Linked DNA regions of Rhinolophus ferrumequinum. The protein of the gene in region 2 purifies or fractionates together with the protein of the main gene of each other region. This does not show direct contact. Links are inferred from orthologs where the notes say so. Each region holds a gene or a part of one and is shown on either strand. Other genes may lie near its edges. The genes, in order: SAMD13 and L3MBTL3.

Region 1 (11,470 bases), on a different chromosome or scaffold from region 2:
CCAAGTCCCTCTGTTGTTTGCAGAAGCAGAACTCACAAGCCAGTTTCACTTACTTTTTTACACCGACAGAGCCATTTTCCTTGTTTTCCATGTCAACAGATAGCATGGGAAGGCTGCAGGGTTCCTTTACTTCAGCAACTAATCAATAAGGGAGAAAAGCTTGTGTTTAATTCTTAGAAAGTGAGAGAAGAATATATATTCTGAATCGGAAACATAATGGTTCCTTTCACAGCTTCACACCAGTTCACGTATGTTTGTTTAAATCTCCAGTTCCCTCAGCGATTGGAGAGATGTGATTAACCTAAAGAACTAGAGGAGACGGGTTGGGGTGCTTTCATCTGTACTGGCACTCCCTGCCTTGACAATGAGCATTTGCAAATGAAATTGAATCCTTGTTCAAAACAAGTGCTGTGTGAACTGGCACAGCTTCCTCTGGGTGCCAAGCTCTCACTTAAGACACTGCAACTCATAAATGAGTCAAAGTCGAGAAAAACAATCCCCCTTTTCCTGCCCTTTCCCACCAAGGGCTGTGATTTTTTTTTCTTATTGCATATTTTTTGGTCCACTCCCACCCCCACTCTTTCTATATTTTTTTTCGTTGCAATGCAAAAGAGCACTTAAAGCTTTTGTCAGCAAGTATCCCCCTTCCTCACATACTCTCAGCGAAAGCCTCAGAAACCTGTGATATGGCCATACCGTTGGTAAAACTGAAGCTCACAAACATGTCAGAGAGCCCTTAGCATAGAAAGGGTGTGTGTGTGTGTGTGTGTGTGTGTGTGTGTAAGAGAGGTTAGGCAGCTAATTAGATTTATGTAAAAATCACCACATCATTCAAGGAAAATAACATCCATCACTTTAGCATCCATCACTTTAGTCTTTTTGTTTAGTAGGATGAGGGCTGTGAAAAAAATAAAAAACCTTCCACAATTAATATGCAATTAGCAAGCTGAAAAAGCTATGAACAAACTGCTTAAAAAAAAAAAAAAACTAGTTCTGAAACGTGCTTGTTCTTCTACAGCTGAAGCCATAAATTAAATACATTTCCTCTCAAATCACTTTATACTTCGGCACTCCTTCTCTAGGGATTACTCTGACATGACAAGTACATCATTAAGTATATTCACAAGATTTTATCACTGTTAGAGAAGTAGATGATTAACAAATAATGCTGTAGTGGGATAATCTTCACTCCTGATACACTGGTACACACACGCATACACACAAACTTCCAGTTGCTAAACCACTTAGATCATTCATAGAGAAATCCAACATTGCATATACATATAGATATTAACATACATTCACACACCGTAACACAGTAGACAGAAGACAGTGCTGCTGCTCCATGCCAAAAGAATGATTTCACTTCAGTTGGAAACTGTTACATATTCACCATTTTCTAAGCATCTCAGAAAACAAAACAAAACAAAACACAATGATATTCTGTAACACCACACTACATTGTCTTATTATTATTATTATTCTTTTCTTTTTTGTGGAAGAGTAAAAAAAAAAAACCTACCTAGAAGCAACTAAAACATGTCATTTTTTATAGGCTTATCAAGAACAGCCAAAGAAACCCCAATGTTTTCTTTCACAAAGTAGGCTGGCAAAGGAATTCAATAAGGAGGTACAATTTGACACAGTGAAATAAAACCAGGCTGGCTCTCAGCCAACATGACGTTAGGAATCACACACAAGCTGCACCAACTGCCTTCTGGTTCATGGCTGACTTTTTAAAGCTACAGTGTGCCTGTTCACTTTTGCTAACTACCTTCAGCACAATTAGTGGAAGTGAATGAATCACGAGTCCAAAAACTGCAGAATTCTCCCTGCACCTGTCTTGCACAAAGAAAAACGAGCTGTATCTACAGCTTGTTTTCTCCCTCCCCTTCATTGTTGCTACATGATAAGTCTTTGCTGTGGTTCTAAACATGAATGTCATGTTTCAAACTATTTCTTTTTCATCTCTGTGGGAGAAAAAAAATAAGAGGCAATAAGAGAAAGACCCAGTACTTATGGCAATAGCCAGTGAACGCGCAGAAGCTGCAGTCCTGTGTTACTCTTTCTTCCTAATAGACTTGTGGACAAAGTTCTCATGGCTGACTTTTAAGTAATCTCTTTGTGAGGATAAGGAAAGTACTGCCCAGCAGAAAATCCTTTTACTTTATTATACAGGAAGTAACATATTTCAGAGAGGATGCAAAGTAGATGACCAGATCTCCTGAGAACGCCCACATTCTTTTATTTTGGCATTCATCCTCCCAGATGAAGTCAGCAAAAACTCAAAATGAAACGAGCCTTATTCTATAAAACAATTAGTTCTGCCAGGTTTAATTTTAACTGTTTATCCCAGTTGCACAATAAATTCAACTAACATATTATCTATGAGTAACTGGTACTCTATTAGTTGCATATGCAAAACAAGATATTCTGTCACCCCTCAAATTCACAGTATCTCCCACCACCACCACCCTAAATCCCAATTCAGGAAACTGGGAGGTGGAATAGAGAGACTGGACATGATCTTTTCATTGTTAGCCTGGTCAATTTCACAGTTCTCTTGCGTGGCTGGGAAACATTCTGATTCCACAAACACGCTGCAGATGTACAGGAAATATACGTACATAGTTGTCATTGAAATAAACACCAATCAATATTTGAACACTTTTAGGCCAAGGTGTAAACAAAACCACTCAAGATAAGGCAGATAATACAGGTTCCCAGGAAGGATCCCAGAAAAAGTTATCTGCTGCTATAATATTGTATAGATTTCAGGCAGAATTGAGAAGAAAGCTGCTGGCCTCCCTTTTCTTTAGTAGTTTTTAAGGGCACTAGAAAACCAGCAACCATGACCAAACTTTGCAACCTGAATTTCAGTCAAAAATTTTTTTCTTACTTATTCCAGGAATATCAGAAAAATGTCAACTTCTTGAGATTATCACTGAGAAAGATTTGAAGTAATCTCTCTGTCCACCTTTGCCATTACACCCTTGACAAAGCAAACAATTATTTAGGGATAAATTCTAAATGTTTATATATTTTTGAGCACCATTTATTGAGCATGGGTCCAACAGGTGGGTCTTTTACCAGCACTGATCAAACCGACAAGAGAACTCTTTTACCAACAGATTTTATAATGCTTTTGGAATTGATCTGAAATTCCTGAATTGTTCTCCAACTAAGTTCAAATGGAAGAGGGCTGGGCTGTTTGAATCCTGGGGGGCAAGGAAGGTGTCCTGACGGTACTGCCATGCCTCTGCTCAGAATAAAATCAGGTTCAGCTCCCTACTCTTGAAAGGAAAGAGTAGAAAACGCAGTTACACTCAACTCTTCCTTAGACACACTCATAGGAGGAAGGATTCTGTGATGATTCTTCCAGGATTTCTTCTTACATATAGAAAAGGACATCCCCTCCTGTCTTGCCTGCTGTGACCAAACGTTTGCCTGTTAGACAAGGGTAAGGGTTTCTGAAGGTGTAGAAAATCAATCCCATTTTGTAAAAAAATGAGCCACAAAGGCATTTTAAATTCTGACACCAGATTGCACTTATCAGCTAGTTTTTAACTTTGGAATAAATTGACATTTGTGAGTATAAGCATATATACTAGTACTCAATCAGTTCCTCCTCACTCCATTCAACCAACTGTTTGATATTCACCCTCTTCTCTGCTAATACAAATGTGTTTGTAGCGTGTAGCATAAATGAAATGTGTGTGCAATGTACATGTGTGATGACTGTAATATGTGTGCTATGTGTAATATATGTGGGTGTTGTGTGTGCGTGTAGTGTGCGCAATGTGTGTGTGAGTGTATGTGGAGAGAGAGAAAGAGATGCAAACAAACAAGACCTTTTGATCCAGGCTATTATGGAATGGGCTAAAATACCTTCATTGATCCTCGTGTTGGGATTCTGGAGCAGAACTTTCGGCCACACTTGGGAATGGGCTCAGATAGGGGGAAGGGAGGTGGATCAGGACGGAAGGGAACTGGTGCCTCCATTAGGCTTCCTTTATTGCTCAGCACTCATCCCCCAGAGACAGAGGACTTGTTCTGGGAGGCAGCACCCTCCCAAAAGAACCACCGGCTCCTGCCTCTGGTCTGGGGGCAGGGGGCGGGGGGAGGGAATCAGCCCTCAAGTGTCCAGCCCGCAGGGCAGAGGGCACACGTGGGGTCTTTTTCTCTGCAGAAGAAATTTCGAGAAGTCACCCGAGGGCAGGGTAGAGCTCAATGGGTCCCCAAGGGTGTCTCAAGGGAAAGTGAGGAGCGACCTGGAGAGGGGGGCACTTGGGGCAGGGCAGAGGGTAGGTGAGGGGACACCAGGAAGTGTCTTGGACCAGAAGCGGCCGAAAGCCAAACCACTCGCTTGAGGCACCGGCGACAGAGGGAAAAGTTTACGGCCAAGACTTTCAAGAAGAAACGGTTGGTCTTTGAGTTTGAGGGCTCCGCGGGGCAGCCTATCTTTGAAAAGGGAGTGTGGGGGTGTGGCGCGCTGTGCGCCCCGCCGAGCGGTGCCTTCACCAGGTTCCATCCTGCGTGCGAGCTCGGCGCCACAGCCCCTCGCAAGCCCCAGCTCTCCACGGGGCCAGGCACGCTTCTGTCCCCAGTTCCACTCCAGAGTGACAGATTCCACGCTCGTGGGTGCAACAAGCTGCGGAGTACCGGACACACTGCAGAGACGAGGGAGGGCAAGGCGCTTTTTATTGTGGTCTGCTTCGCTTCCTTTCATCCTGGATTGGGGAGAGGGCGGGCGCGTACCCAGTGCCCTGGCAGCATGAGTGGATCACTTACCTCCCCGCATGGCCAGCACCGGGAGGCTTTCCTCCCGCACAGAACTCCGCAGCCGCCACACGCCCAGCCCCAGTGCAACCGGGCGGGTGCGCCGGGCATGCCGGGATTTGTAGTCCTCAGCGGGCCGTTGGGCGGGCAGGGGCGAGGGTACCGTAGCTGGGGCCACCAGGAATGGGGGAGGCCAGGAAGAGACAAGGGCCTTATGAATGTAAGGGAGAACATTTTTAAGAACTTAAAACCTCCAGACAGCTGTGAAGAAGAGGACACTTCCAGAGAGATCTTAAAATTGGTGGTTTTCAGGCTAATACAATGTCTTACTCGCTGAATCCTGGTGAAATTTTAAGACGGGTTTTGGCACTAATGACAAAGGCCAAGTTCGTATTACTTAGGACCTTATTTTCCCTTCACCCCAAACATACACGTGGCATTCTCTGCTTGGAACGCCTATTCTGTTGTTCACAGAATAACTCAGTTGAAGCCCTTAATATACAAAGGGAGGGTGAATAATTGCATCTTACATTTGTAGCGCACTCTACAGTTTACAAAGCACTTTTTACTTAATTGGTTCATTATATTAGAACCATAAAGCAACACTGAATTAGGCAGAGAAAAAATCAAGGTGCAAGAAGTTTTTTTGTCTTCACACCTACCAAGGTTGGAGCTACTCCACACTCTTCACTTCCTTCCTCAACCCTATTTTAGCAGCTGGGAAGAGAGATGGAGAGAAGGAGAGCTGTGAACAGACGTGGTGGACACAGTGAAAGAAGAGGAGTCTGCTATGAAGGACTTGCTTGAAATAGCTGATGAATAAGTCCTTAGTAAATACCGAGATAAGTAAAACCAAAAGAAGAGCCTATAGACTGGAAGAATGCAGTGGGAAGGAAAAGGAAGGTGGGATAGGGATAGAGACTGAATAGAAGGTTTTGATTAGGCGATATGAAAACGTGTATATCTATTATATATATAATTTTATATATAACACAAACAGAAATTTTAGAAGTCAAAAAGACTGGGAATCCTGCTGTCACTCGGAGCTAGCCCTGTAACTTTTAGGTTAAGTTGTTTAACTTTCCCAAACCTCTTTTGCCTCATCTTTAAGATTTAAATGGTAATAGTTCCTACTTTGTAATTTGGCTGTGCAGATTAAAAGAGATGGAATACACTTAGTATAGTGTAATTATTATTATTTATTATTAATTAAATAAATAAAATTTCAATAATATTATTAATATTATAATATAATAAATATTATCTATACTCTTATTATATGCCAGGCACCATACTAAGTAGAAATAATATTATTTATAAATACTCGTATTACCTGCAGAAACTCTTTTATGGAAGCATCAAACGATAAATCTGAGTAGAAGTACCAGTTAGGAGGCTGTGACAAAATTCTAAGTTACAGGTAATGATGGCTTGAACTACAGAGGTAAAAAAGAAGCAGCTGTGAGAGACTTCAGAGGGAAAATGGACAGAACAGTGCAATCAATTGGATGTGAGGAATGTGTAATAGGAAATCAAAGATGGTTGTCGTTTCTAGATTAAGTGTATGATGTTGTCATTCACATAAATAGGTACAACTGATGGAATAACAGGTTTTGGAGGAAGATGACTAGTTTGATTTTGAACATGTATAACTCAAGGCTTTCTGTGTATGACTGACAAAGTGGCAATTAGAAATGTGCATTTGGATATCATGTAGAATGGAACTTGGAGAATCAATTTTTTAGGAGAGGTAGTTGAAGATCATGTGAAAAGGAAAAAGGAAGGGCAGCAGAGGTGGGCCGGGGGAGGTAAGGAATTGGGGAAAGGGAAAGGGAAAGCTGCAAGAGTGCAGTGACATGGAAGCCAAGGGAGTGAGGATGAGCTCATCAATACGTCCAAATCCACAGGGGGGTTGCCAATTACAACAGAGAAAAGGCTAATGGATTTACAGATCAAGAGTCTATTGGAGTGGAACTATCTCCAGGAGTTGTTTTGAAAAGTTACCAGAGTAATTTTACTTGTCCCAGTGACAACAGAAAGAGGACTACTAGAATGTCATTGGTCAACCAAAGATGCTAAACATCTTGCAATGCCCAGGACAGTCCTGCACAGCAAAGAATTGTCCTGCATCCTGTGTGACTTGACTATCCCACAGCTCTTTCATGTAGATGAAAAAAAAAAAACTGTTTATGTTTACCTGAGCCTAGAATCCACTTTATATATAAGTATAAAATGTTTTTTCACAGAGTTTAAAATATATTAAATTTTTCTGGAATGCAGTAAATGGAATGGCAATACTATTCCTGGAATTTGAATCAATACAGTCCATTTTGGTGGCTGTCCATTTCATGGCGATTCTGCAGTTGGATGCGAGCATCTTACTACTTCGTTGTGAGTTTTAGTTTAGGGATGCCTGAGCAGTTCCATGTTGAATCACATACTACCTTTCCCTTTATGTTACACTTAGAGCATAGCTTTGAATCTTTTTAATGACATGCGTAGGTACCTTATGACTTTCCCCTTACCATATTAAACAGGATGTTATCCCACATTTGTTATTAAAAGGGGCAGTGGGTTTGACAATGCTGAGAACCATTATTCAGTCAGTCAACAAATATCTTTTGAGTGTTCACTATGTGCTAGATACCATTCTAGATACTTGAGATATATCAACTAATAAAACCGAGGAAGTTTACTGCCCTTATACAGCTTGCAGCCTATCTAATGTGAATGTGGGGCAGACAGACAATAAATCATAAAAATAAACAAATAAGTCAATTCTATGGTATCTTAGAAAGTTATAAGTATTATGAAAAATAAAGCAGGATAAAGGAGACTGGAAATGCAGGAGGCAGTGTAGGTTGAAATGTTAAATACAGTGATCAGGGTAAATTTTATTGAGAAGGTGACATTCAAGAAAAGATCTGGGGTTGGTAAGAGAATTGCCTTGTGGGTTTCTGAGAGAAGAACATTCCAGAAAGAGAGAACAGTTAGGTATAGGCCACACAGTGACTGTGTGCCTGGAGTTTTTAAGAAACAGCAAGGGTCCCGATGTGGCTGGATTGGAGAGTAGAGAGGGAGAAGCAGGAGGACTGGAGGATAACCACTGGGTTGGAACAAGTCTTGTAGGGCTTGTAGGGTATTCATTACAAGGACTTCGGCTTTCATCCCAAATGAAATGGGCAGCTGCTGGACAGTTCTGAGCAGAGAACTGACAAGGTCAAGCATATTTTTAAAGGATTATTCTGACTGCTCTATCCATTATGAATCACAGAGAGCAATGGTGGAAGCAAATAGCTGAGAAGCTATTGCGGTAATCCAGGTGAGAAGTAATAGTAGCTTGGACTAGAGTGGTAGCAATGAAGAGTGATGTGGAAGAAGAATCACGAATTCAAAGGGCACAGTGGAGAAGTTTCAGGGGTTGGAAAGGGCAGCAGGATGGAGAAAGATCAGGGGATATTCAAAGCCTTGTGGGAATGAGACTTCGGGAGAGACTAGGGAGTTTGGAACTTCTTGTGGGAACTGACATAAACAGAGATAAAGGGGATAATAAAACCAGTCCCAGAGGAGTGAAGGAATACAATGGTCGGGATGTTGTTTGTGTGGGGAGTAGGGAAGAGTATTTGGGTTCCCTGACTCAGAGGTTTGAGAATGGACGTTGACAAAGAGGTTTGAGAATCAGGTGGACTCTTAATCCATGTTGGTGGAATGTTGAAGGTCTGGGGAAGGGAGGACTCAGTCCCAGGGTAATTCTCATCCAGGACTCCTGCCAGGAGGGGGGCCTGCTAGTTCAGAGTGCAGTCTTCTCCTCCTCTGCCCTTGATCCTTTTCATGGATTTAACCCTTTGATGGAGTTGAGGATTTGGTCACAAGCTAGTAATTACTCTAAGAACAAAGGTCCATAAACAATATTGATTCAATAAAATGTATGTCTAGAAGATGTGGATTTGTAAGTGTGGAAGTGGAGTGTGCAGTAGAGAATTTTAGCAAAGAAGGGCAGGAGGAAGCTGGGCCCTTAAGGTGAAGGGATGATCTCTGACTGGGGACAGGAGACAACTGTGTTTGTAAGGTGACATGAAGAAGCCATTAGAAGCAGAAACATGAGAATTTTGAACAGAGGATAATTGATGGAATAACATTCTAGAGAAGGTGGAACTATGAACTAACTGTTTTTTTCTTGGAAGGAAGATGGAATAGTTTTTTTCTGTCAGAAAGGAAAGAAAGACAATGGAATGATTCAAGAAAATTCTAAAGCGTTAAGGAGATGCAACATTTAAAGATCTTACTTATTTATTATGGAAACAAATTGAATATGTGGTAAAAGTTAAAGCAATCAGAAAAAAATACCAGAAAGTGAAAGTTTCCAATAGATCCATTTTTAGAGTTGTTCTTTTTAAATATTTAGTATATATTGTCCCGTTTTTTTCCCTGTACATATGATTTCTTTTTGTAGATGTTACATGAATACTAAAATATTAGGGTTTTTTTTCCTTGTAAGATATAAAATTCGTATAATAAGTACATATTGAGCGTCTATTAGACAGTAGATATTATCATCAATCTTTTTGATCATATTATTCACATCTTGCATATTCATATATATTTTTTCTCTTGATTTTTCAAGAATTGAAAAAAATTTACTAAACTTTCCTAACATTGTTTTTCCTCTTATTTCTTGAAGTTTTGCTTTATGTGTTTTGATGCTGCATTATTTGATACATGAAAATTCAAACTGGCAATAACTTTATAGTAAATAGTATCCTTTGCCATGATAAAGTGACTCCCTTTGTCCCATTGAATCATTTGTTAAAAATAGTTAATTCTATCCCACTTGAAATTATTTTAAGTAGATATGTTTAGTCTCATCTGTTATGTCTGTTTACATTTTGAATCCTTATTGTTCATTTTCTCTTTTGCTTTATGATGTTTTCTTTGTTTTTGTTTGGTTTTTATTATTTTTATCTTCCTCTGTGTATCAGTTATCTATTGCTGTGTAAATATCTACCCCAACACATAGCAACTTAAAACAACACACACTTTCTTATCTTGCACTTTCTGTTGGTCAGGAATCCTGGCATGGCTTAGCCGAGTCCTCTGCCTCAGGGTGTTCACAGGCTGCAGTCAAGATTGGACTGGGCTCCCTTCTTAGCTGAAGGCTCAGCTTGGGGGGAGGATCTGCTTTCAAGCTCACCCCTGTGGTTGTTGGCAGGATTTAGTTCCTCATGGGCCCTTGAAAGCCTCAATTTCTTGCACATGGGCGTCTTCATAGGGCAACTCACAACTTGATCAAAGTAGGCATGTGAGAAGAGTCAGAGAAACAAAGTGAGCAAAACAGAAGTCATAGTCATAGTCTTTGATTGCCTAATTTTAGAAGTGAAATCCATCATTTTGCCACATTCTCTTTGATAGAGGCAAGTCCTATGTCCAGCCTACTCACAAGGGCGTGAATTCCAGGAGGTAAGGACCATTGGGAGCCACTTCAGAAGGCCGCCACCACACTCTGTCTGCCAATCTGGACACTGTAAAGTGTATTCAATAATATGTTTACATTTATATTTCTCAATTTACCTTAGAAATGAAATGATGAAAGATGAAATTAATCTACTTAAGACTATCTTCTTTTCTCCTCACCTTTCTATTAGTTTTGAGAGCAACTATGATTCATGTTCCAGTCTATTACCATCAAAATATTATTCTTTATATTATGTAATTTTCATTTAGGCATTACAACAATTATGTATTTCATTTTCATGACTTAGAATACCACTTATTTAAATATAATTTTATGTATGAATAGATTCAAAGCTCATTGCCAAACCTTTTGTACATCATGACTTTTTCATTCGTGAATTCATTATTGTTACTCATCTGCTCATTGTCTTGAATTTTTTTCCTGATCAAATTTGAAAACTGCATAAATGTTATGTTTCTTGAGTTGCATATTTGAGAATTTCTTTCTCTTACCAGTATTCATGAAAGATGGTTAGACCAGGTATAGAATTTTTCCCCTCTTCAATATTCATTAACCACTGTTCCATTTTCTTCTAGCATCTAACATTGCTTGGAATATGTCCAATTTCTTTGCTTTTGAAGATGTCCTTTTACCCTCTGCTTAGATGACTATAGAATTTTTTTTCAATCCTTAAAGTTCTAGAAAAAAGCTTTTATTAAATTTTCTTGGAATATGGTGAGCCCTTTTAAAATGTAATTTTAAGTTATACTTTATTTCAGAAAATTCTTCTATTACGTAAATTTTCCAGTTCCATTTATTCTCTCACATCATCAAAGACGTCAGTCATTCATATGTCACTTCTCCATTATCTGTTGGCCATATCTTTCATCTTCTCTCTAATCACCTTCACTCTGTGCCATTTTCCACTAAATTCTATGTGATTTTTTTCAATAGTTTGCCTTCTATGTCCAATTTTTTCAGTTTGAGTGTTACTTCTTGGTGCTTTTAGTGTGATTTGGGGAGATTTAATTTCTTCTTGTTTATTCCCTCTGCTTTTCCAGGTTTTTTAATTTTTTAAATTTTTACTGTTGCATGGGTCCCATGGTATTTTTTCCTGACTTTTTTTTTTTTTAATCTTTAAAGGAAGTCAATTAGGTCTCGTTGTTTGGCTCATGAATAAAGTGAGTGATTGTCTTGCCTCCCCACTTCCTTTTTTATCTGTCTACTGTTTGAATTATC
Region 2 (12,107 bases):
ACAAGGTATTTAGAGACTAGCACTCTAGCCATAGCCCCAGAACTCCCCAGACGAAGAAAAAATAATCACTGTCTTCCTTCCACTCAGCAGGTCTAAATACAAGACTCACCATCCTAGGAAACACAGTTCTTCTACATGAACTCTACTTCTGTCTGCATGATGTTCTTGTAGTTGGGATCTTGCCCCACTGTCTCTGCTGCACCATACACAGGAACCATATCTATGCATTTTGCTAATAACACTATCCAAGACAATCCCCAAGCAGAAACTGACAATAAACTGCTAACAATCATTTTTGTATCGGTAATTATTCAGTGCTGACATCTAGACCACACCTATCCTGTGGTCTAAGAGGATCATTAGTCCTGTTTTCTTCTGTTTTTGCCCAACAACTATTAGCAACTCATTTAATACTCAGGACAGTGAAGGGAAATTAAAAGAAGCAGAAAAGGAAATGAAAAGGATTCAAGGCGGGAAGAAAAGAGAAAGGTATAAATACCATGTTTCCCCGAAAATAAGACCTAGGCAGACAATCCGCTCTAAAGCGTCTTTTGGAGCAAAAATTAATATAAGACCCAGTCTACTATAATATAACACAATATATAATATAATATAATGTCTCATAATATAAGACCCAGTCTTATATTAATTTTGCTCTAAAAGACGCATTAGAGCTGATTTTCCAGCTAGGTCTTATTTTCGGGGAAACACGGTAGTAGAAAGCACTAGAGTGGCAAAATGTACTTCGATGCTCTACCCAAGTGAGGGCTGGCCCATCTCTTCTGCCTGAGAATGACCTCTGTCCTGAAAGCAGGTCCTGGATTACTGAGGAAAAATCAGCACCCTCCAAAACTGCCAAAGGGATCTGACTGGACAACAGCTGTACTCCCTGTGGAGATATGTTCAAAAATCAACAAGTCTATGGTAACACACTAAAAACTTACTGCAACCCTATGACATGATGTTTGGTGTAAGTCATCCCATGTTGGATTTAAGCCACAGGAGTTAAATTACTTAAATATGCCCAAAGTTCTTGCTGTCAACTTCACCTACAAACTTTTACCAAGTTCCAGAATCTTCCATATCACTGTGTACTTACACAACAATTATGTTAATTTACAATTGCTTTGTTCTAGTTTTCCCACTTTTTCAACTCCAAAGAATAAAATAATTTACTTTCAATAGAAAACAGCAATTGAAATACTCGTTAAGAATCCAGTAAGAGAGCCAGTCCAAAGATTATCCAGGGCACTCTCATAACTTTTCCCAATGTTTTATTCCAGCTTCAATCACAGTGTTAAGATTTTCATGCATGCAAAGCAACCCCCACAGAAGGATGGTTTTCTGCCATTCTCGCCCCACACTCTCCTTCCAGATCCCAATATGCAGCCTTTAACATTTGCAACTATATCAAGCAATTTGTTTCGACAAGCAAATCTTACCTAGTAGCAGTGAAGAAATAACTGTCTGGTGGTCTTTATGATTGTTGTCCGCCCCCAAGACTCCTCCTGAAAGTGTACTATTGATTTAAAGATAGGAAAAGTAAAATCAAAGCATTATCATAAAAATAGAAGCCTTCACGTCGACCATCCACAATTACAAAATTTAAATTTTGAATCATTAACATACTGCATAATTTCACAGTATCACCTAGTATATTAAAATAAAATAAACTAGTTCTGGATGAGGTGAAATGAATTTTACCATTCATATTATTCCCCATATCCTAAATTCACCCATTAAAGTCTCTCCCAGTGCAGGACAATTAAGGGAAGGTTACAGGGATCATTTGATTCAACTTACTCTCACTGCTTTTACCTTTAAAATTAATGTTACTTCACAGAACACACACTGGCAAAAGAATAGATATTATGTAATCAGTTTTTGTCCATATATTTAAGTATTTAAATCACAAATTATACAAAGTATTCAGAAATAATTTCTTGCCCAGTGAAACAAAATTACACTCTTAAAACTAAAAGGGACCATTTATTTTATGACTATATATAACTGTATGATAAAGATACTAAATACTAGCCTTAAATTATATTTACTAGAGAATAAAATGATCAGCTCATAGAAAAGATAAATTTCAACCAAAGGTCTTTTTCATTTTTTCAGTTTTAAACACATATTGTACTTTGTACTTTTACTAACATTCAAAATGAAATTATCCGCTTTCTCCTGATTAAAAGTTGATCAAATGTATAGACAACCATAAATAAGAAAAAAATAGATTTCTAATCCAGGGAGTGACGAAGCTCAAAGTCCAAAATAAAAGCAAAGTATTTTTCCCATATAAATAATAAGGAATGGAAGTTATAGGGTCTGGGTCTTTAGAATCAATTTGCTCCCCGATTTACTGAACATTCTATTTCTGATCAGCATCCTTTCACACAACATCTGGCTGCTAGCTCAGGTCCTCTAATTACTTCCACGTCTGAACGGACCACGTAGCTCCAAGTAAAGGCCAAACTTTGCTCTCGGCCTTCCGAACTTAAAGATGCGTTTAACCACTAGAGGTCTCCCCTTGGCCAGTTTTGCACGTTCGCTATTTTGCTGCACTTGAAACTTTCCGGAGAAATGCTCTACTCGAGTCAGTGTTTTTCTAAAAACTTGCGCAAAAATCCACGCGACCGAGCTAGCCAGTACGGAGACTCGCGGGCTCCCAAAATCAATAAAGATATCACAAACAACGCTCTAGTAAAAACAAAATTAAAAAATCGACGCACTCGCCCCGGCCACCCCCCTCCCCGTTCTTATTTCTCATCTGTTTCCCTTAACTTAAACTTAGAACAATTAAAAATCTATTTTTGTTTCTGTGCACTTTGAATGATCTCTAATGCATTTTTCTGGCGGTAGACCCGAGGTGGTTAAGGAGCGGGCCAAGGGATGCAGGGAGGGGGAAGGGCCGAGCTAACAGCGCCGAGGAAGTTGCATAAGGAAAGAGACTCCGTTTTTTGGGTCCCCTCAAAAAATCGGCGGGGAGGGGGAGGAAAAGGAAGCGGGGGGAGGGAGGGAAACCGAAGCGACGTTTACCTTCGTCTCCCCGTAGAAGGGTGGGGTGAGAGCCACGGTCTGAGCCACCCCGGAGGGCGACTTGTTACCCCCACCTTCCTCGGAGCGCAGACGGACAGATACCCCCACCCCTCCGCGGGGAAGGTGGGGAGGAGATCGTCCGCTTTTAAACTTTCTCTCACGGTCGCACTGTGGGCCGTGCTTTCACCAGAGGTGGGGGGGGAGGATTATAGGGCCTTTTTTTTTTTAAGGTAATTAAAGTTTTACCACCAGCACTAAAGTTGCGCCCTCCCCCAGCCCATGCCACCGTACCCCGCCCCCCGCCTCCAGGACTCACAAGTTTTCCTCCCTCTCCCCCCCCCACACCAGCTCGCCCGGCGCGCGGCGGATGCCGCGGCTCCTGCGCTTCCCGATCCCCACCCCCGTCGGCCTCTACTTCCCCCCGCCCGGCCGCCGCGGCGCGAGGACGGCCCGCCGGGCCCAGGACGCGAGTGTGCAAAACCCATTATTCCGGAATGGCACACGCACGCGGCTCCAGGCCGGCAACGGCCCCACCTCGGACCCCTCTTTGCCTCCCCAATATAAGGACGGCGTAAACAAGTTGCAGGAAAAGCAGCCCCGCGCCTGCCCCCCCCAACGCCGCCCAGGCGCGGCGGTCGCCGCCGCCCGCCGCTACCGCCGCCTCCCGACACACGCCCGCACCCGGGCCGGCGCGGCGCGGCAGGGCGCGGGGCAAACGCCGCGACGGCGCGGGCTCCCGGCCCGGCCCGCGGCCCGCGCCTTCCCCTGCGCGGACGGCCGCGGCGGGCCCGCGCCGCCTCGCTTCCCGAAGCACTTTCCTGCCTCGGGCAGAAATAAACCGGAGGGTTTATTTTTGTGCAACTTTCCCAAAATGGCGGAAATTGGAGCTGATCTATATGAAATTCTCACACAGTCGGTCGGGAAGGGGGAGGTGGCGAGGAAGAAAATGCAAACTCTCGGCCGCCGAGCCCCGCCGCGGGTCCGTGAGTGTGTGCGTGCGTGTGAGTGTGCGTGTGCGCGGTGGGAGTCGGGGAGGCCTTTCCGCCGTGCACACACAGCACACGCCGGGGAGACGCGCCTGCACATTCAACCAGTCCATTCTCCGCAGCCCAAGCGGGGAGAAAGTGGCCCGGCCTCTTTTCCCACTGCCTCGGTCTCCCGTACTTGTACTTCTCGCGCTCGCTCGCTCGCTCGCTCTCCGGTGCGCGCTCGGCACAAAGGCCACACGGGCGGAGGGGGCCGCAGGGGCGGCGCGCGGGGCTCGTGCCTCCCGCCGCACGGATCCGCGGCCCCAGCCGCCCCCGCGCCCCCCGCCGGCGCCCCCCGCCTCGGCGGCTGCGCTCGCCGCCCGAGCTGCGGCTCCGCGGCGCCCACTCGGGCACGCACCCTGGCGGAGCCCGGCGCCGCCGCGCTTCCCCCACCCCGCGCCCGGTGTCATGAAAGCGACCAAAGTGACAAGCTCGGGGGGGCGCGGGGGAGGGGGCCCACACGCATCCCGCCGCCTGCGCGCCGGCGAGAGCCCGACGCGGCCGCCTCGCCCCGGCTCCCTTCCGCACGGCCCCACACACCCTTCCCCGTGTGCGCGCAAAGAAAAAAATACAAGTCTCTCCTCCCCCCATTTTTTCCTTTCTCTTTTCTCTCTCTTTTGTTCCTCTTTCACACTCGCACTCACTACTTCAGAGTGAGATGCACAGAGACTCCCCCTCCAGCCATTTCCGAGTCACTTGCCCACTTTTCCCCCCAGGATTAAGTTTTCTCCTCTTTCCCAGAGGCGCAGAGAAGTGGGGGAGAAACCCCTTCTGTCCTTTCCCCTCCCCTGATCTGTTTCACAAGACGAGGGTGCGCTTCCTTCTCTCTATAGGTCTCTTAACTTTCATCCTCACACAGAAAAATAAATGAATGGCCTTTGCACGGACAAATCTTCAGATTAATTAGAGATTAGATCCGATCAAACGCTTCTTACCCCCAAAATTTCTCTTTTTTTTTTCTCCGTCTCACGAGTAGTCCTGACAAATGGTCCAGGGCTGCGGGCGCAGTGCGCATGTGCGCGTAGAGTCAGGGCTGGGGAGAGGGGAAACTGCGCTGGTGCCGGTGCCGCCGCCGCAGCCGCCGCCGCCGCCGCTGCCGGGGAGGCTCGCTCTGGCTTCCCTCTTACTGCTGCTGCGCCTTCGCCGCTGGAAAGCAGCAATAAAGCCGATTGGCAAATGCAGCTGCCCGCAGATACTGTTTCAGGTGCATCTTTTCAATATCCTTGTCACTGGCTCAGAGCTGGTTCAAGAACAGTCAAAACAAATCTGAAAGACAGCTAAGGTTATAGATTTCTTTGTCTATTTTTCACTTTACTTTTTTAAAAAGACAATTCTCAGAGCAGCTAATCCACCACGTACTGTTCAATGTATGCATTCAGCCATTAAAGAGTGGGCCTTAGTCTTATACAGACACTACCCAAAGGCTAAATGCATGCCACAGGTCATGAAAAATATGAAATAAAGTTTTAAGCTTTTACGCAGTAGAACCTCCCTCTCTGTAGGACTGGAAGAATGCATAATAAAGTATGCGTGTAAAATGCGTGTTCTTTCCGTTTCTTAAGTGTTGGTCTCTTTGACGGCTTTTAAACATGTTAGGCCTTTGTTATGAAGTACTAGTGTGTTGAGATCCGTACATCAACTTAGAAATCAGTGTTAAAGTACCTTGGCAATAAGCAAGTCGAAGACTGCCTTTTAATGTATTCAATCAAGATGGCTGAGCGGTCCTAAATAGCAAAATCTGCCTTTGTTAAGGCATCAAAACTAGATTAAGAGAGTACTGTATTTCGGTATTGACAACTTTCCATTTATTGACTGTAGGCCTCCTTTGGGCAGCTCACCATTCTCCTTTTTTCCTAGGTACAAGCACTTACAAAATAATTCAAACAATTGAAGTTATGATAACCATCTTAATGTCAATAACAGAGTTTGCTGTGCAAGAAATAAAGTAGCCTGTGTGATTTCAGGAATGATGGAACCAACTCTTACATTTTTGCAGCGGTGGGAAAGTAAGGCAGAGGCCCCAGTCCCTGAAACTGTACTATTTATTTTGTATCTAATAAAGAGTAAAGGAGGCCCTTATCTGCAATTGCTGCCTGAGGCCTAGAATTGAAATATATCACAGATGGAAATTCTGTATTAAAAATCCTTCTCCAAAATGTAAGTAATATTATTCTTGATTGAATTTTTTTCACTTAAGGAATGTTCCTTGAACCAGTTTCAGAAAATAAACTGTTAAATTCTTTCCTCAGGACCATGAAATTACCCTAGAGAAGCAGACCACCAGACTATTTCTTCTGTTGGTCTAATGAGGGAATTCTCCAAGTCAAAAATCAGGACATACGTGTATGGCTTGATATGTACTCAAGAACAAAGGAACAAACACTGTAAGGTTGAAATAAGCTTATAAAATATGCTTCATATGTTGGGAAGCCTTTGGCTTAGGGGTGAAGTGTGGAAGGCTGGGTTACTGAAAGCTATAGATAATCTCATACTGCAAGTTAACTATTCATTTCACCCACCACATCCAACCTTTTTCAGAGCTGCTCCCAAACAGCATTATTAATCTAAATTTCAGCTTCTCTCCTTTTCTCTCTAGTCCTTGAATAATGAGCACTGCAATGGCCAAAGGCCAACTACAGGAAGAGAAGGAAAGAAAGCCCACGAGCTATGTGCAAAACTAAGACCTTACCCCAAAAGAAACTAAAATTAATTTTAGATTCCTCTTTCTGAAAATCCATTTTAGATTCATTCTCTGTAGATAAGTTCTGGATGATATTTCTATTTCACATATATTTTCAGAGATGTTGGTTCAACAGTCTGTAAACCTATTAACGGCCTACCTTGTGCTAAGTGCTCTGCAGGGTGCTGGGGAAATAACACAAGATAAAAACTAAGCCCAAAAGAAGTTAGTCCGGCAAGAGAAACAGTCTAGTAAACTGGGCATTGCATTATAGTATGGTAAATACTGTAGTAGGGGTTTGCAGAGCAAGTACAACTGAGGAGCACCTATAGTAATAAGAAAAGGTTTTCTAAAAACAGTCATAGTTAAGCTGATTTGAAGGATAAGTGTCCAGGGTGTGTGCTTGCACCTTTCCTCTGGGAAGGTGATCCAATCAGAGAAATCCTGAGTAGAAGTCCAAGGGTTTGGAGAACAAGGCTTGCCTGGGGCCTATGCACTTACTGAAGTTCACTAACAAAAATCAGGAGGCTGTCTCTACATTGTCTTTCTCCTCAAGAGATCATCAATATAACCTCAAAGATTTCATCTCAGTAGTTGCCAAGATGTGGTTCAGAATAACAAATATTTTGAAGGTATTCATGTGTAAGAATAATAATGACTTTAAAGGCTGCTACCATTTTTCCTACAAAGAATCCTTTGGCGCCACCACTGTACACAGAGGCACAATGCAGTATTAGAATCTACATAGTACTGCGGTATTCTTCATTCGAACTGGTACTAGTCACATGACCTTTCTCCATCTGTTCCCTAAATGGTAGTATACTAGTGGAAGCATCTTTGCTTTCCTTCACCCTTCCACCATTCAGTCACTGGTTAGTAAGTCATGAATTCTTTCTTTCCGGCATCACTTAATCTCATCATTCTCTACCACTCTCCCCTCTTCCCATCCCCCCTGCTTTACCCTACCACACCTACAATACCAAATCCATCCTTCAGACCAGGTCTATAACTTCCCTGAAATTCTAAACTAAGGTCTTAGCTCACTCCTTTAGTTTCCTTTGTATTTATTTATTTCCAAACTCATTGCCCTCAAAGTAACTTCAGATTACTCCATTCCTAAATATTCGGAAGCTAAAATCATTTTCCATGGAAAATGTGTTAAAACAAATCTTCAGGGTTTCTAAGGCTTCTCACCACCTCCCAGATGAAGATCATTCAAAACCTCTCTCGCTGTACGCCATGCTGCAACCTTCACTCTGTCAACTTCCATTGAGAAACCAAAGCTCCCTTTTCCTAAAACTAAACTTGTTCTGCATTGATAGGACACGGAAAAACTCAAGGACAACCTCCTCCAGGAGCCAGCCCCTCACAAATGAAAAGTGCCCAGGAGTGAAGGCCAAGAAATTTTCATTCTAATCTGGTTCTGTCACCACCCACTGGGAACCATTACTGAGCTTATTTCCCTTTTCAGGGCTTCAATTCTCTCCTGAGTTCGATTAAGAAAACAGAGTAATTGATTTCTGAGGTCTCTTTGAAAACCATGTCCGTCCCCATACTTCCCACCTAACAGGACCACTATCACATTTTAGTACAAATAATGTGGAACCAAGAAAGGAATTTTAAGTAAGGAAGGAAAATCCATCCATCTGCTAGGTATCAAAATGTTATCAGTTTATAGCTCATTCAGTTGGTTTAAACCTGGTACTAATGAGATGAAGGTCATGGGTTCCATTCCCTAATGGCTAGTTAGTTTTGATGTGTTTTCATAGCTACAAACTTCTTTCCTAACCCCAGCCTCCCATGTTATAATGTGTGCAAGTTTTAAGGTAAAATTGAATCTTTCGTAGAAATTTCTAAATGAACAATATTTGAAATCAACCTTTAAATGTATTATCTTACTTTTAAATATGAGTCAAATTATTGATCTTTTTGGCCTACGTAATTGTGTGCTCCATGTTTTTCCAAGTATAAAAATGATGTTAACATTGATTTGGCCAAGATTCTTATTATTGATATTTGTAAGAGCTGAGTTTGATTTTCTTGTTAAGTGTTCTAGATAACACCAAAATGTTCATATAGGCACTCTAATTTGAATCCTGGTTATCTTTCTGTGATACATCTGCATACATTATGAGTACAGAGCTTGTGATAGTGAAATGTAATTGAAATGCTGAGGGTGAAAGGAAAAGGGTATATTATTCATCAGGTAAGGAAAGGATTATAATGTGTATCATGCTCTCAACATCTTAAGGAAATTAATACATAAAGAGCTTCTGGAGAGATGTGAATATTTATTATCATTTCGTTTACATGCAAAGGTAAAGATAGAAATATGACAGACATGTTCAAAGGTGTGGAATAATATGGGAATGTAAACTAACTCCTAAATTAAAAGGAAAAAGACAGGTTATAATTTTCCATAACATACGTACTCATTTAAAGCCCAAATCCAGAAGCCTTATAACTAAACAATGCTAGAGGCACAAGCCAGACTTGAGAAGATGTCTGTGACAACAGCCGCTGATACACTTAGATCCTGTTTAGAATGCTCTTTTCGTTTAACCTGGCCTCCTGGCCACAGCTGATTGGTCCAGGAGTGAGCATTTAATCCAATGACTGAATCGAGTAGCTAGAGGTGGACTATGAGTCAGCAGGGTATGCTTTCCCATATGACTGAAAATGATGAAATTGCACCAGTCATATTCTCACACTTGGCCATGTGAACTGGAAATACTGAAGATAAAGTCAGTTGATAGGCATTACAAAAACTAAACTATTCACAGACAGAAAAAGGTAGAGTGCAAGTTCATTAGCTATTAGGCATTACAAACTACCTAAGTAGAAATCATAAGGTAGAATAGAGCAGAAGTTAGCCAGCCACATAAAGGTAAAGGTGCCAGCGCTGCACTGGGCTCTGTATAACATCCTATTCCCAAATGACCTTCTTGTCTCGGAAAGGCCTGGCCCTTCCGTAGTCACCATGAAGACTCTCCGCATAACTAGAATGTCTGCCTTCACTAGTATCCCCATAACTCCCCATGCCTTCTAGAAAATTGAATCATTTTTTGAATTGAGTAGATAAAAGACCCCAAGCAACGGCAATGTGTTATGCCTTGTTCTTTTTAGCCTTACAAAATTAAAGGAGACCAAGTCAAAAAGTCAATGTAGTCAGTCCAGCACCCAACCACTTTGTTCTCATTACTGGAACATGTAGGCCAGATGGCGAGGATCAAATCTCAGTTCCACTAATTGCTAATGTGTGATTTGGTGAACCTCTCTTGCCTCAGTTTCTATATCTGTAAAATGGGGATATTAACAATACCTAGCTCATGGGGCTGTTTTGAGGATATAATGGGTTAATGCAAGACTCATCCTTGGTACATGGTTAGTAATCGATAAATGTTAGCTTGTGAGTAAGAATTTTTGCCTGTTTTGCTCCCTGCAGTATTCCTAGCACCCAGAATTTTACTGGCACATAGTTAAGTATGCAATAAATATTTATTGAATGACAAGGAAATATTAGTATGTGAATTATTACATCCGCTCTTTTACTTGCCCCTTTCCCGCTGGTTACTAGACCATAGGTATCATGTCACAGGCATACTCATGGGCGACATTCTCCTAAAAGTTCCTAAAAGCATGTAAACAGAGAGTGCTAATGGAATTCATAGGCCCTATTTCAAAGGAGCCTGCTGTTCAGAATATATTATCTTTATTTAGCATTTATATTACACTTTTACAACTTCAAAGCCCTTTTCAGTTTTTTAACTAAATATTTGTTATAACATTCCTACATTATCTTTCATAAGGGAGGTAACTGAGGCATGGTTTCAGTGGTTAATACCTATATCTGGAATTGAATTCGTCACGTAAATTCTGTAAGTGTAACTATATAAAAAAAAAATCTGGAACATTACTTTGTTCATGTAGAATGCCGAATGGAATGTCAGTATTTGAAAAGACAATCTGTTACTTTAAATTATACTAGCTATGCCTTTCACTGGGTTTTATTTCAGAAACTAGACTCAATAGAAAGGTTTCCAAAGTGAGCTTTCTCAATGGGTTTGAAGTCTTTCACGAATAAAAGTTAAGTTAATAAAAGTTAATAAAATTTTTAAATTCAGTATTAAAACATTTCACCATATCTCAGTAATTTCCCAATATTTTTCTATGAAAACTTCGAGACAGTTCTTTCCTAGTGTCCCTAATTTGGGAGCTTCTGTATGTATACTATCAAAATTTGTAGACAGAGAAGAATAAAATGGGGAAAACACTGATGAAATCAGTCAAGAGCAATCTAGCTTTCAGGTCTATAAAAGGACTGAAGAGATTTGCGAAAACCCAAATCTAATCAGGTGTCTGTGGAGTTTCAAGAAAGTCTGAAAATGTATTAGACTGAAAAGATAAACTGAGTTTTAGTCACTAGTCCAGCTGATTGTCTTCACTACAGTTAAAACAATCCTAACTCAGAGGAGCCCTCACTAAACTGAATAATCTATTCATTTGACTCTAGTTGAACTCCTCTTCCACAGTCCAACCAGCTGTTTGCTGATCTCAAAACCAGATTCCACTCCAGGTTTCCTCTATCCCAGTGCAAGCTCCTTCAAGTCTTCCCTTCAACTTGCAAGTCTCTCTCTTTTCCTCTCCCATCTCCAGGGGAAAATATCTCTACCTCTTCCCCATGCTGTTCCCCTAAATGTGATTTTTGACCACATCCTCTCTCGATTCCTCCACGAATGTTCCATATTCTCCCAATATTTACAGTCCATTATTCTCCACTGGCTTTTCCACAGCCAAAAAGCATGGCTCATATCTTTCCCGTTTTAAAAAAAGAAACCTTTTGTCAATTCTACATCCTTTCAAATTCTGTACCATAATTTCTCCTTTCCTTTGGTGCCCCATTTCCTGAACAAGTAGTTTACACTCATTTTTTTTTTTTTTATATATCCCTACATCCTATTCATTCTTCCATCCACAGAGGTTGCTGTATATGCTTTCCTCTCTGTATGGTCTCCAGTGATATCCTAATGTCACTGGAGTGGAATGTCAAATCTAGTGGCCACAGTCCACTTCCTAGGTAAGGTTCTAGAAGTATTTGACAGTGTTGACTAATCTCTTCTTTGAAACTGGTTTTTCATGCATCTTCTTTGTCAATTCACTGTTGTGGTTATTCTCTTGTCCCTCAGACCTAGTCCCAGTTTCTCCTTCCACCTGATAAACCTGAGTGCTTTTAGAATCAAAATATGACCTTCTCGCCTGTCTTTAGATTTCCTCCTGAGTGAACCCATGGACTCTCTTAGCATCATTTGAACTCGTCTTTGTGTAAAGAACTCCTGGGATATTTTTATCCATGAGCACTC

Evidence for each region.
Region 1: the proteins of L3MBTL3 (region 2) and SAMD13 purify together in Homo sapiens (affinity purification with mass spectrometry; 3 studies listed by BioGRID and IntAct, counting the BioPlex papers as one, with this or other methods). This does not show direct contact. The link is inferred for Rhinolophus ferrumequinum from reciprocal best matches to the Homo sapiens genes L3MBTL3 and SAMD13.

What each region holds. Positions count from the first base shown.
Region 1 is NC_046292.1:63,239,414-63,250,883, reverse strand, and holds the start of SAMD13 (sterile alpha motif domain-containing protein 13), read right to left. Parts: upstream 4,982-11,470; 5' UTR 4,802-4,981; coding exon 4,792-4,801; intron 1,641-4,791; exon of another isoform or gene 1,523-1,640; intron 1,437-1,522; exon of another isoform or gene 1,300-1,436; intron 139-1,299; coding exon 54-138; intron 1-53.
Region 2 is NC_046286.1:77,798,360-77,810,466, reverse strand, and holds the start of L3MBTL3 (lethal(3)malignant brain tumor-like protein 3), read right to left. Parts: upstream 5,110-12,107; 5' UTR 5,003-5,109; intron 4,328-5,002; exon of another isoform or gene 4,204-4,327; intron 4,148-4,203; exon of another isoform or gene 3,949-4,147; intron 3,292-3,948; exon of another isoform or gene 3,040-3,291; intron 1,838-3,039; exon of another isoform or gene 1,819-1,837; intron 1,520-1,818; 5' UTR 1,443-1,519; intron 1-1,442. UniProt on the Homo sapiens protein: Is a negative regulator of Notch target genes expression, required for RBPJ-mediated transcriptional repression. It recruits KDM1A to Notch-responsive elements and promotes KDM1A-mediated H3K4me demethylation.